Linked DNA regions of Macaca mulatta. The protein of the gene in region 1 purifies or fractionates together with the protein of each later gene. This does not show direct contact. Links are inferred from orthologs where the notes say so. Each region holds a gene or a part of one and is shown in the gene's direction. Other genes may lie near its edges.

Region 1 (6,450 bases):
GCAGGGTGAAGTAATGAAACAGGGAGTTGAAGAAACTCTATTCTCCTGTCAATTTGGTTCCTCTCTGGGGTCTTCACACTGGTTGGCATCAGCTGTTCTGCTGGAATTCAGGATCTGAAAAACATCTTAGGCACCTTTTGTTTTTTTTTTGAGACAAGGTCTGTTGTCCAGGCTGGAGTGCAGTGGTGCCATCATACCTCATTGGAGCCTCCAACGCCTGGGCTCAAGGATTCTTCCACCTTAGCCTCCCAAGTAGCTGGGACTACAGGCATGCGCCACCACACCCAGCTAATAAAATTTTTTTTTTTTTTTTTTTGTAGAGACAGGGGTCTTGTCATGTTGCCCAGGCTGGTCTTGAACTCCTGGTCTCAAGTGATTCTCCTACCTCAGTCTTCTAAAGTGCTTAGGTGGGATTACAGGCGTGAGCCACCACGCCAGATGCCAATTCTTAAATAAAAATACATGATTCCGCCAGGTGTGGTGGCTCGCGCCTGTAATCCCAGCACTTTGGGAGGCCAAGGTGGGTGGATCACTTGATGTCAGGAGTTCGAGATCAGCCTGGCCACCATGGTGAAACCCTGTCTCTACTAAAAATACAAAAATTAGGCCCGGTACGGTGGCTCAAGCCTGTAATCCCAGCACTTTGGGAGGCCGAGATGGGCGGATCATGAGGTCAGGACATCGAGACCATCCTGGCTAACACGGTGAAACCTGGTCTTCACTAAAAAATTAGCCCGGCATGGTGGCAGGCGCCTGTAGTCCCAGCTACACAGGAGGCTGAGGCAGGAGAATGGCGTGAACCTGGGAGGTGGAGCTTGTAGTGAGTGGAGATTGCGCCACTGCACTTCAGTGTGGGCGACAGAGACTCTTGTCTCAAAAAAAAAAAAAAATAGATGGGCGTGGTGGCTTTTTTTTTTTTTTTTGAGCTGAGAGTCTCTGTCGCCCACACTGAAGTGCAGTAGCAGGATCTTGGTTCACTGCAACCTCTGCCTCCCAGTTCAAACAATTCTCCGGCCTCGGCCTGGCAATTGGCTGAGACTATGGGCATGCCACCACACCCGGCTAATTTTTGTATTGTTAGTAGTGAGGGGGTTTCACCATCTTGGCCAGGCTGGTCTCAAACTCCTGACCTCGTGATCTGCCCTCCTCAGCCTCCGAAAGTGCTGGGATTACAGGCATGAGCCACTGTGCCCTGCTAAAAAGCCTATGATTCTAACATCAGAAATCCTCCCACCTCAGCCTCCCACGTGGCTGGGACTATAGGCTCAGTGCCACCACACCAAGCTAATTTTTGCATTTTGAATAGAGATGGCGTTTCACTATATTGCCCACCTGGGGCCATCCGTGTTTTCTTTTCTGTTATTTTTGTTTTATTTATTTATTTTTTTGAGACCGAGTCTCGCTCTATCTCAGGCTGGAGTGCTGACATGATCTTGGCTCACTACAAGCTCCAACTCCTGGGTTCAAGCGATTCTCCTGCCTCAGCCTCCCAAGTAGCTGGGACTACAGGTGTGAGCCACCATGCTCTGCTGTTTTTTTTTTTTTTTTATTTTTAGTACAGACGGGATTTCGCCATGTTAGCTAGGCTGCTCTCGAACTCCTGATCTCAACTAATCTGCCTGCCTCGGCCCTCCGAAGTGCTGAGATTACAGGCGTGAGTCACCGCGCCTGGCCTATTCCTGTTTTCTTAATGCTTCTCTCTCCCACTGGGCCGTGACTGCCTCCAAAGCAGAGATGTGTCCATTTTTTATTATTATTGTATGTCCAGGGCTGGGCACAAAGTGCAACGCATAGTAGGGACATGAAAGCCTGGGAACAGTGGCTGATGCCTGTAATCCCAGCACTTTGGGAGGCAGAGGCGGGAGGATAGCTTGAGACCAGGATTTCGAGACCAGCCTTGGCAACACATCGGGACCTCATCTGTATGAAAAAAAAAAAGAAAATTGACAGTTCAATGTCACCTCTGATAAGCCTTCCCTGACCACCCCTGTTACTCTGTAGCCCCATGTCCTGCTTTATTTTTCTCCAAAGCATTTGTCATCGCTGGGTTTATATTTATTTCTCTTTGGGTTTTTCTCACTGGATCGTAAACTCCATGAGGACAGGGCTTTGTCGATTTTACTCAATACCCTATTTTACAACATCCCTATTGCTGGGATCTCAGTATGCACGCCTTAAATATTTGCAGAATTTAAGCGCCTCATAAGTGACCACGTGGGCAACGCCCTCGGGGCCTTAACCGGCGCCATTTTTGGGGCTAGGATTGGTTGGACCCTCCGTCACGTGACATGCAGTTGCCGGATCGCCTTTGAGTCTCGTGAGGTACTTTTGGTCCCAGGCTCCTTGGACGAGGTACTGCGCAGGCGTGGGAGGGGGTCTGCGCACGCGCAGAAGCACCCCGGGTGTGCTGCCGGCGGAGGTTGGTGGCGCGCGGGGCTGGCGGGCGGTTGGCGTGAGCGGGACGTGAGCTGAGGCAGGAAGAGCCGGCGCCATGGTGGAGAAGGAGGAGGCTGGCGGCGGCATCAGCGAGGAGGAGGCGGCGCAGTATGACCGGCAGATCCGCCTGTGGGGACTGGAGGCCCAGAAACGGTCAGCGCCGGCGCGGCTTGAGGCGCCGAGGGTCTGGAGGGGGCGTCTAGTCTGAGGCGTTTGCGGCCCGGAAGGAGCGGGAAGGTGTGATTTGAAGGGAGGAGGCGGGAATTATGTGCCCCGGGATCGTCTCGCTCCTGAGGGAACTAGAGGAGTTGATTGGGGATGTTTCTGGAAGGTCTGGGAAGTGGTTGGGAGAGCCGTTCCGAAGGATGGGAGCTCTGAAGGGGGCTCTGATTGGGGAGTCCTGAGGGAGCGGGAGAATTCAAACTCAGGAAATCCGAGGCCCGAAAGCGGTGATTGTGGGATTTAGGTCGCGGTTAGGGGATAAGAGGGGCTGGGGTACGTGGAAGGGGTGAGGTGAAGGACATAGTTCATTCATTCGATGGTGTGGGACCCGGTTCCGTGCTGGATACGGGGGAGACTGGACTGGCCAACCGGGCCGACGGGAGCTTACATTCTTGTGGGTGCTCAGGGGCGGGCCAGGCTGAAAGAATGCGGGTTTTGAGGAGTTTTGGAGCAAGTTATGTCAAATGGAACTCTTGAGAGGCTCGGAGAGTCTGGAGGGGGACGGCAGTAGGCTCCCGAAAAGGTTGCTTGTGTCTGGTACGGGGCTGTGCCTTGGTAAGACAGGAGACATAGTTTGGGCATTGTGGAGTAGCTTAGGGATGGGGTTTTCTTTTCTTTTCTTTTCTTTTTCGACGGAGTCTCTCCCTTGTCGCCCAGGCTGGAGTGCAGTGGCGCGATCTCAGCTCACTGCAAGCTCCGCCTCCCGGATTCAAGCGATTCTCCTGCCTCAGCCTCCCGAGTAGCTGGGATTATAGGGGCCCGCCACCACGCCCGGCTAATTTTTGTATTTTTAGTAGACATGGGGTTTCGCCATGTTGACCGGACTGGTCTCGAACTGCTGACCTCAACTGATCCACCCGCCTCGGCCTCCCGAATGCTGGGATTACAGGCTCACGCCACCACACCCGGCTAATTTTTGTATTTTTAGTAGAGACAGGTTTTCACCATGTTGGCCAGGCTGGTCTGGAACTCCGGACCTCAAGTGATCTGCCCGCCACTGCCTCCCAAAGTGATGGGATTACAGACTTGAGCCACTGTGCCCGGCTTTTTTTTCTTTTTTTTTTTTTTTTCTCCTCTTTGTCGCCCAGGCTGGAGTGCAGTGATGGGATCACAGTTCACTGTAGCCTCGACCTCCAAGTCTCAAGTGATATTCCCTCTTAAGCCTCCCAAGTAGCTGGAACTACAGGCGCACCCCACCACATCATCCGACTAATATTTATTTATTTATTTATTTATTTATTTTTTATTTTTTTTTTTTGAGACGGAGTCTCGCTCTGTCGCCCCGGCTGGAGTGCAGTGGCCGGATCTCAGCTCACTGCAAGCTCCGCCTCCCGGGTTCACGCCATTCTCCTGCCTCAGCCTCCCGAGTAGCTGGGACTACAGGCACCCGCCACCTCGCCTGGCTAGTTTTTTTTTGTATTTTTTAGTAGAGACGGGGTTTCACCGTGTTAGCCAGGATGGTCTCGATCTCCTGACCTCGTGATCCGCCCATCTCGGCCTCCCAAAGTACTGGGATTACAGGCTTGAGCCACCGCGCCCGGCCCCGACTAATATTTATATATATATTTTTGTAAGATGGGGTTTTGCCACGTTGCCCAGACTGGTCTTGAACTTCCAAGCTCAAGCGATCCTTGGCCTCAAGAGATCTCCCCCCAGCTCAGACTCCTAAAATGCTGGGACTACAGGCCTGAGCCACCATGCCTGGCCTCACCGATCAATATTTTTACTTAGCCGGGACGCAGTGGCTCACACCTGTAATCCCAGCACTTTGGGAGGCTGAGTTGGGGGGAGGGGATCTCTTGAGTCCAGGAGTTTGAGACCAGCCTGGGTAACGTTGCCAAACCCAGTCTCTACAAAAATACAAAAATTAGCCAGGCATGGCGGCATGAGTTTATAGTCCCAGCTAGTCTGGAGGTTGAGGTGGGAGCATCACCTGAGCCCCCAGGAGGCGGAGGTTGCAGTAAGCCATGGTCGCGCCACTACACCCCAGCCTGGGTGACAGAGTGAGGAGGCCCTGTCTCAAAAAAAAAAAAAAAAAAATTCCACAAATGTGTACATATGTGTCAGTCATTAAAGGATGGTGAAGTGGGAGGGTTGTTTTGATAGGTTGGCTGGGAAAGGGCTCTGAAGAGGTAACATTGAGCCTCTTAAGAAGGGAAAAAGCCTTGTGATCATCTAGGAGAACTTTCCTAGCAGAGAGAACAGCAAGTGCAAATTCCCAGAGGCCCAGGCATGATCGTCAAATTAGAGAAATAAGGTGGCAAGAACCAAATGAGTTGAGTAGCTTTTATTCTAAGTGTGTGGGGAAAACCTGTTGGAGTGTTTTGAGTGTGGGAATAACATGATCTGTGGGTTGTTTTGTTTTGTTTTGTTTGTTTGTTTTTGTTTTGAGATGGAGTCTCGCTCTGTCACCCAGGCTGGAGTGCAATGGCTCAGTCTTGGCTCACTGCAACCACCGCCTGCCAGGTTCAAGCGATTCTCCTGCCTCAACCTCCTGAGTGGCTGGGACTATAGGCACCTGCCACCACACCCGGCTAATCTTGTGTATTTTTAGTAGAGACAGGGTTTCACTGTGTTAGCCAGGATGGTCTCCATCTCCTGACCTCGTGATCCGCCTGCCTTGGCCTCCTAAAGTGCTGGCATTACAGGCGTGAGCCACTGCACCTGGCCTGGTTTGTGTTTCCATTCCTGGCAGAAATGAAAAAGATTCTGGCTGGACTGTTGCAGTAATCTAGTTGAGACAAAAATATTGGTAGCTTGAAACTCAAGAGAAGAGGTCAAATATATATATATTCTGGATATATATATGTTTTGAAGGTAGAAGAGGGAACAGGATTTGGGACAGAAATCCAGTATGACACCACTGTTTTTGGCTTGAGCACCTGGAATGATGGAATTGCCATTTTGAAAGATATGGGGAGCTGTAGGTTTGGTGGGGTCAGGGAAAAGTCAGTTCTCTTTTAGGTTTCAGATTTTTTTTTTTTTTTTTGAGACGGAGTCTCGCTGTAGCCCAGGCTGGAGTGCAGTGGCATGATCTTGGCGCACTGCAAGCTCCGTCTCCCAGGTTCACGCCATTCTTCTGCCTCAGCCTCCCGAGTAGCCGGGACTACAGGCGCCCGCCACCATGCTTGGCTTTTTTGTTTGTTTGTATTTTTAGTAGAGACGGGGTTTCACTGTGTTAGCCAGGATGGTCTCGATCTCCTGACCTTGTGATCCACCTGCCTCGATCTCCCAAAGTGCTGGGATTACAGGCGTGAGCCACCATGCCCTGCCCAGATTTGTTTTTTTATACAACTAAGTAGAAATACGTGAGGGGTTGAGTTCAGAGGTAAAATTTGGGTGATGGTGGGCATTGTGTGAGTACAGTGTATAGAATTAATGGAGGGGTTGGGGAAGCCGACACGTCAGGAGAATTTAGTTTGAGGGGGTGGGAGCTTTCAGGAGGTTTTGGAGTGTGCAGTGGTGGGATGGGAATTACCTCAGGCTCATTTCAGATCTGTGGGGTCTTTGATGAGGTCGGGGATGTCATCATGAGGCATTAACATTGGTGGGAAGGTTGAAGCCACCTGGAATAGATTGGGAATTAAGTGATGCGAATATGCCTGTGGACATAGGTGGGCTGCATTGATTTTAGGGACTGCTATTTTCTGGATGGAGTGGAAAGAGGTTTTATGTGAGTTGGAGGAAACTTTGAGGAAGCTTGGGGTGTTATGAGGTCCTAAAGGGTTGAGGAGGGGATTCTAAAGTCCTGGAAGGGTTAATCGAAGGGGTTTGTGGCAGTAGATAGTTTTG
Region 2 (6,350 bases), on another chromosome or scaffold:
CCGGTGTGCGCCCACTCCTCCCCATCGCGTCCTTGGTGTGCGCCCACCCCTCCGTATTGCGTCGCCCTCCCCATCACACCCCCCGTGTGTGCCCACCCCTCCCCGTCGCGTCCCCCGGTGTGCGCCCACCCCTCTCCATCACACCCCCTATGGTGTGTGCCCACCTCTCCCCATCACGCCCCTTATGGTGTGTGCCCACCTCTCCCCATTGCGCCTCCCCTGCCATGCCCACCCACCCCTCCTTATCCAGCCTTGGGTGTGCTTTAGTTTCCCCCATTGCCACACTGGGGTGTGCATCCTTCCAGTCTCAGTCCTGGGGTATGCACCCTTCATTCAGGTGCACTGGCCACTCCTTCTTGGGAGGGTCCTTAGTCGCGGTCTCCAGTGATCATAAAAAGAGAACCTTTCCGAAGCCCTTGGTGTGCACTCTTGGCCTCTATGTTACATCCTAGTGGAAGATGACTAGAGCTGAAGGCTCTGTAAGGATGCTGTCTCTGATACTGGCCTGGTCCTGGAGGTGACCACCCTCCCTTTACAGATGAGGGTGGAGGCTCAGTGCCAGACACTGGTGGAAACTGGGATGGAACCGTCCGGAACCATGGTTGCGGCCTCTGGAAGTCTGCACTCTGCTTGCTGTGGTCAGACTCCAAGGAAACCTCCCCTATCCAGATGGCATTTGGAGTGACCTTCGCTTTTTACATTTTGACTCCAGTGAAGTCAAAGTTCTCCCACTCAGGGGTTGTTTGAATATTTAAATACTTGTTAAAACTAGGCCAAATATAAATGTCCTTTCTTTATGTTTTCGTAGGTGGCTTCCTCTTAATGAAGAGTACATGTAATAAAATATGTATGATACTCATTTTCTCAGCAGTGTTTACACTTAGCTCTGCCATGTGGTCAACCTCAGGCTCCAATTCCGTTGAAAACACTTGTTGAATTCCAGAATGATTGAGTGGCTGCCACCTCACAGGCCCTGCTCCTGGTGGTTCTCCTCTGAGCCCATGTGGGAGCAGCTCTACCCTGTGGGGCTCTGAGGAAGGGGAAGAAGTGGACTCTGGGGCCCAGTGGTGCTGGAAAGAAGAGCTTTTGGGTCAGGCAGGAGAATGTTCTGACTTCCCTGGATAGCTGAGGCGGAGGATTGACTAGCAAACTGAGGCCCATGTTTTTAGGGCTTCATTTTTTAACTCACGAGTTCACTTGCTTATTAGGAATTTACCAGGGGTCTGGGACAGACCGACATTGCTGGTGTCTGTCTGTTTGGAGCAGAGGCACTGTGGCCGGCCCTGCCCTGCCCCAGCCTCTCCTGGGGCTGCAGCCATTACCCTGTGGGGACATGTGTGGGCCCTGCATCTGTGCCTTTGAACACACTCATATCTTCCTTGCCTAAAGAAGCCAGTGCATCCTCATGCTTGGGGAAGTGAAGGGGGCTCATGCAGGGGTCCCCACTTCCATCCCGCCTGGAACTGTTTGCATGCTCTTCCTTCCTAGGCCAGTTTTCCCTGCGCTGGAGGCCACATTTGGGATGGGGGGATGGGGGTGTGCCAGCTCACCACTCAGGCTGCTGCCAAGCCACCGGCGTCCCGGGAGTGGGCAAGGGTGTCTGACCCAAGACTGGAGTTGGGGAGTGAGTGCTGGCCCAGGACACGCACCTTCAGGTTCGCAGCTGGAGCCCCTCACTGCCAGGGCCCCTTGCCGGCCACTCTAGTTCCCTTGACAGAGCACCGTACCTCCCCAGGGTCTCCAGGAACCAAGCATGGGGGCAGTCCCCGGGTTCACCCTCAGGCGAGCCTTCTACATCCCACTCCCTGTATTTAGGCATCGCTGGGACAGTTGTCCCTCTCCCAGCCAGGGAAGGTAAGGAGAAGTGGAGAGAAAAGGCATGTAACGTACAGTGCTCCTTGCAGGCAGCAGCTCAGCATGGGGGGAAAGGGTACCAGGATGCTCCAGACTTGACTTTCAGAGTGAGCTGGAGGGCCCTGCCTCATTGCTTCACTCACAAACGAATTTATCCCAGCAGTGCAGGCCGGCCACAACTCCAAATGCATTTTCAGGCAACAAGACACCCCAGTTGTGCCATTGTTGAGTAGCTTCAGGCATGGCATGAATTAAAAAGTAAAAAGTCCCACCTACTGCCGCTCAGATGGGACAATTTGAAACTAGAAAGTACTCGGGGCCGGGCGCGGTGGCTCAAGCCTGTAATCCCAGCACTTTGGGAGGCCGAGACGGGCGGATCACAAGGTCAGGAGATCGAGACCATCCTGGCTAACATGGTGAAACCCCGTCTCTACTAAAAATACAAAAAACTAGCCGGGCGAGGTGGCGGGCGCCTGTAGTCCCAGCTACTCGGGAGGCTGAGGCAGGAGAATGGCGTAAACCCGGGAGGCAGAGCTTGCAGTGAGCTGAGATCTGGCCACTGCACTCCAGCCTGGGCGACAGAGCGAGACTCCGTCTCAAAAAAAAAAAAAAAAAAAGAAAGTACTCGGAGGTGGCTTCCCTCACATTTGCTGATGTCAGGGCAGCAAGAAGGAGGCTGGCTGCCTGCTGTGGGAAGTGGCCGTCCTCAGTTGGATTCCAGAAGTTACCACTTGAATGTCCCACAGGGTTTCTCTGAGTCACAAATGTTTTCTTCTGATTTTGGTTTCTTTCACTAATGCTATATAGCTGTGTGAGTTTTGGATATGTGTTTTTACTGATTTCATAAGAATTTTTTTAAAAAAGAGATGGGGTCTTGCTATGTTGCCCAGGCTGGTCTCAAACTCCTGGGCTCAAGCCATCCTTCCATGTCAGCTTCCCAAAGTGCTGGAATAACAGGTGTGAGCCACCGTGCCCAGCCTACAAGAATAACTTTAAAATAAAGATGGATTTTCTCTGATTTTTCCCTAGACTTACTAAACAAGGTTTTTTCTTTGAATTAACAATATCAGAGGACCGTAGACTTGCATTGTTTTACACATGGATTCTTAACAAGTGGAAGTTAAAAATAAATTCTGTGTAAAAATAAAACCATCACGAGTGACTCTGAATTGCTGGAGAATTTTAAGAATTAGGTTGGTTTTAATGACTTTAGAAAGGCAACAATTACCTAAAGACTTGCCCTTTCAAGTCGTGGTAATTTTGAGATACAGTTTTTAGGCCAGTCTCCGGTGTCTTCTGCAGGAGGGCGTGAAGACAGAGAACGACCACATCAACCTGAAGGTGGCCGGGCAGGACGGCTCCGTGGTGCAGTTCAAGATCAAGAGGCACACGCCACTGAGCAAGCTGATGAAGGCCTACTGCGAGAGGCAGGTGCGGCGCCTCGCTCCCCCACGGGGCTTCCCTGTGTGCGCGCTGGTCCTGTGTGCACCAGGCATCCCCAGAGCACGAGTGTCAGGGCTGGATCCAGATGTAGCCACTCGAGGTGCCCTCTTCATGGATGGGCAGGCGGGGGCTTGTGCTGTAAACCTGGCCTAGGCTGGGCTTGCTGACTGTGTCCCCCATGGCCTTTTATGAGGTGGAGGGACCTAGAGGCTCAGAGAAATGTGGTGGGTTTTTCTTCCTGATAAGGCGGCTGCCCAGGGTGCTGTGTTCTCCATGGGGTACTAACATCTGTGAAGTCTGTGACGCTGAAGGCTCTGGGGGGCCCTGCTCAGATCTGGCCATTCTGGGGCTGCAGGTGGCATGTGCCCCATGCTGCTGTCACCCCGTCCTCACGTATGAGCTGGCGTGGCCCTGAAGAAACACTGCCCTCATCTGCAGTGTGGTTTTCCATTTTGTTAGGAAAGGCAAGAAAGCTTGTGATTCGTTCCCCTGCTTCCTCAGTTTCAGGATAGTGAGCTGCCTCACTGGCAGTGCCCAGCTGGGTGGACGCCTTCCGGCTGCTGTGTGTGACTTGATGTGTGTGTGTGTGTCTGTTGTTCTTGGTAATGCTGTGGAGGACTCACCCTGGGCCAGGGGGTCCCTCTCTAGGCCACTGCTATGGGCTTTGCCCGCCAGCTGCTGTCTGGCTTGTCTGGGGCCCGGCCCTGCAGCCAGGTGCCTTTCCCCAGGGAGCCCTGCTTGCCTGAGTGGGACCTAGAGGCTGCTTTTCTTCAGCTGCTCTGAAAATACAGCAACTCGTTGCCCTTTTATTTTACTCTTTTGCCTGTGGATTTTCAGTTAGATTTCCTCCTCTTTCCCTCTCACTTTGGATACCCTGCTCAGAGGGGCGTCACTGGTGACCACCTTGCACTCTTTATTGACAAGCAGACCCTCTGACTTCCTTTCTTCGTGTTTGCTGATGGCAGATCTTATTTTCACCTGCGAAAGGTGAGACTGAGCTTCCAGACACGCAGGCTTCGGTCTTCCCAGCAGAGTGAGTGGCCTGGTGCCATGCAGGCCCCATGATCCAGCCTCTGCCTGGTGCTGGACCCTGGCCCTTGTCGGAGTTTATGCTGCCTGGGCTGGTGGCCACATTCTCCTCTGCACTGTGGGATGGCAGGCGTGTGGGGCCGTGTACATGTGGTGGGGGCTCTGCCCTTCCCCCTGCTCTTCCAGGGCTCCCCTCCTGCCCCACCTGCACTGCTGCTTGTGAGGCTGGCTGCTCAGCCGTGGTCCCGGGCCTCCTGTTCAAATCCTAGAGGTTCTCTCTTGGTGTTTCCTGGATTAGTCCTCCTCCCTTTTGTGTTTTGTGGTGGAGCACATCCTCCAGGGTCTTCTCGGAACAGGCAGAGAAGGGTAGCGTCTTTGAGACACTGCATGGCTGAACGTGACTTTTGCTTTTATAAACTTTCACACTTCAGTATGTGGCTGCACGCAGTATTCTTGGTTGAAACTCTTTTTTTTTTTTTTTTCTTTCAGAGATCAGCCATGAGAATAGCTCCCAATGTTGAAAGTGAAAAGTTTACCAGGCATGGTAGTTTATGCCTGTAATCCCAGCACTTTGGGAGGCTGATGTGGGAGGATCATCTGAGGTCAGGAGTTCAAGACCAGCCTGGGCAACACAGGGAGACCCTCTCTCTACGAAACATTAAAAAAATTAGCCAGGTGTGGTGGTGCAAGCCTGCAGTCCCAGCTACTCAGGAGGCTGAGGTGGGAGGATTGTTTGAGCCTCGGAGGTGGAGGCTGCAGGGAGCTGAGGTCGTATCACTGCTGCAGCCTGGGTGACAGAGCAAGACCCTGTCTCAAAGGAAAAAAAAAAAAAAAGTGAGAAGTTCAGTGGATTCTGATTCTCTGTGCTTTGTTTGTAACTTGGTTTTTCTCTGGAAGTATCTGGGACCATATTCTGGCATTCCAGTGTTCCCTTATGTGCCTCAGAGGTGTGTGATTTTATCACTCATGCTGCTGGGTACTTTATGGGTCTGGACATTTATTTTTATTCAAGAAATATGCCCTATGTCAGTTCTTTGATAATTTGTGTCCTTCTCCACACTCTGGTCCCTCTTTTGGAGTTCCTGCTGCTAATTGTCCTAGTTTACATTTGATAATTTTTCTCCCATTTTGCTTTGGGCTTTATTATCGCTGTTGGTCTCCTTTCCGGGAGGTCATTTCAACTTTATCTTTCCACTTTCTGTGGACATTCTCATCTCTGTCATGATTTTTAATTTCCAAAAGTTCTTTTCTCTTTCTGTTCTTTGAGTGTTTTTTTTTTCTCAGTAGCAGTTGATTTATTTTTTTTGAGACACGGTCTCGCTCTGTTCCCCAAGCTGGAGCACAGTGGTGTGATCATGGTTCACTGCAGCCTTGACCTCTGGGGCTCAATTGATCCACCCACCTCAGCTTCCTGAGTAGGTGGGACTACAGGTACATGCCACCACACCTGGCTAATTTTTTTATTTTGTGGAGATGGGGTCTCCCTATGTGGTCCAGGTTGGTCTCGAATTCCTGGGCTCAAGCGACCCTCCTGCTTGTGTCTCCCAAAGTGTGGGATTACAGGTGTGAGCCACCATACCCCTCCTCAGTAGCAATTGATTGTTTTCTGAAGGTAGTATTATTTTTTACTTCCCATAGAACTTGAATTGTGAGTGTAGGTGTGTGTGGTGTGTATGTCCATGTCTTTGTGCATGTGTGTGTATGTGTGGGGGTGTGTGCGTGTGTGGGCCTGTGTTGGGAGCGTTCTCCTGCCTCCTTCCTGTCCGTTCTCTGTGCTCCTCCCCTCCTCTCCTCTCCGGGCTGCTGCACAGTGAGCCTTACCCTGACTGCTGTCATGCAGGCTGACTTCTGTGCAAGCATGGAGCACTGAGAAGCTGGTGAGAAGCCATGTACATGGATGGCTGTGCTGCCAGGGCTGTGTATCCCTGGAGTGACATGTCTGGATTGTGGGTTCTGGAGGCACCCAGATGCTAAGCTGAGAGTTGAGTCCTCCAGTCTCCGGCCAGCCTCCTGGGGGCACATCT

The links. Proteins that work in one complex are often made in the same cells at the same time.
Region 2: the proteins of SAE1 (region 1) and SUMO3 purify together in Homo sapiens (affinity purification with mass spectrometry; 3 studies listed by BioGRID and IntAct, with this or other methods). This does not show direct contact. The link is inferred for Macaca mulatta from reciprocal best matches to the Homo sapiens genes SAE1 and SUMO3.

The regions. Positions count from the first base shown.
Region 1 is NC_133424.1:59,609,073-59,615,522, forward strand, and holds the start of SAE1 (SUMO-activating enzyme subunit 1), read left to right. Parts: upstream 1-2,389; 5' UTR 2,390-2,491; coding exon 2,492-2,589; exon of another isoform or gene 2,590-2,673; intron 2,674-6,450. UniProt on the Homo sapiens protein: The heterodimer acts as an E1 ligase for SUMO1, SUMO2, SUMO3, and probably SUMO4. It mediates ATP-dependent activation of SUMO proteins followed by formation of a thioester bond between a SUMO protein and a conserved active site cysteine residue on UBA2/SAE2.
Region 2 is NC_133408.1:2,710,421-2,716,770, forward strand, and holds part of SUMO3 (small ubiquitin-related modifier 3), read left to right. Parts: intron 1-3,156; coding exon 3,157-3,285; intron 3,286-6,350. UniProt on the Homo sapiens protein: Ubiquitin-like protein which can be covalently attached to target lysines either as a monomer or as a lysine-linked polymer. Does not seem to be involved in protein degradation and may function as an antagonist of ubiquitin in the degradation process.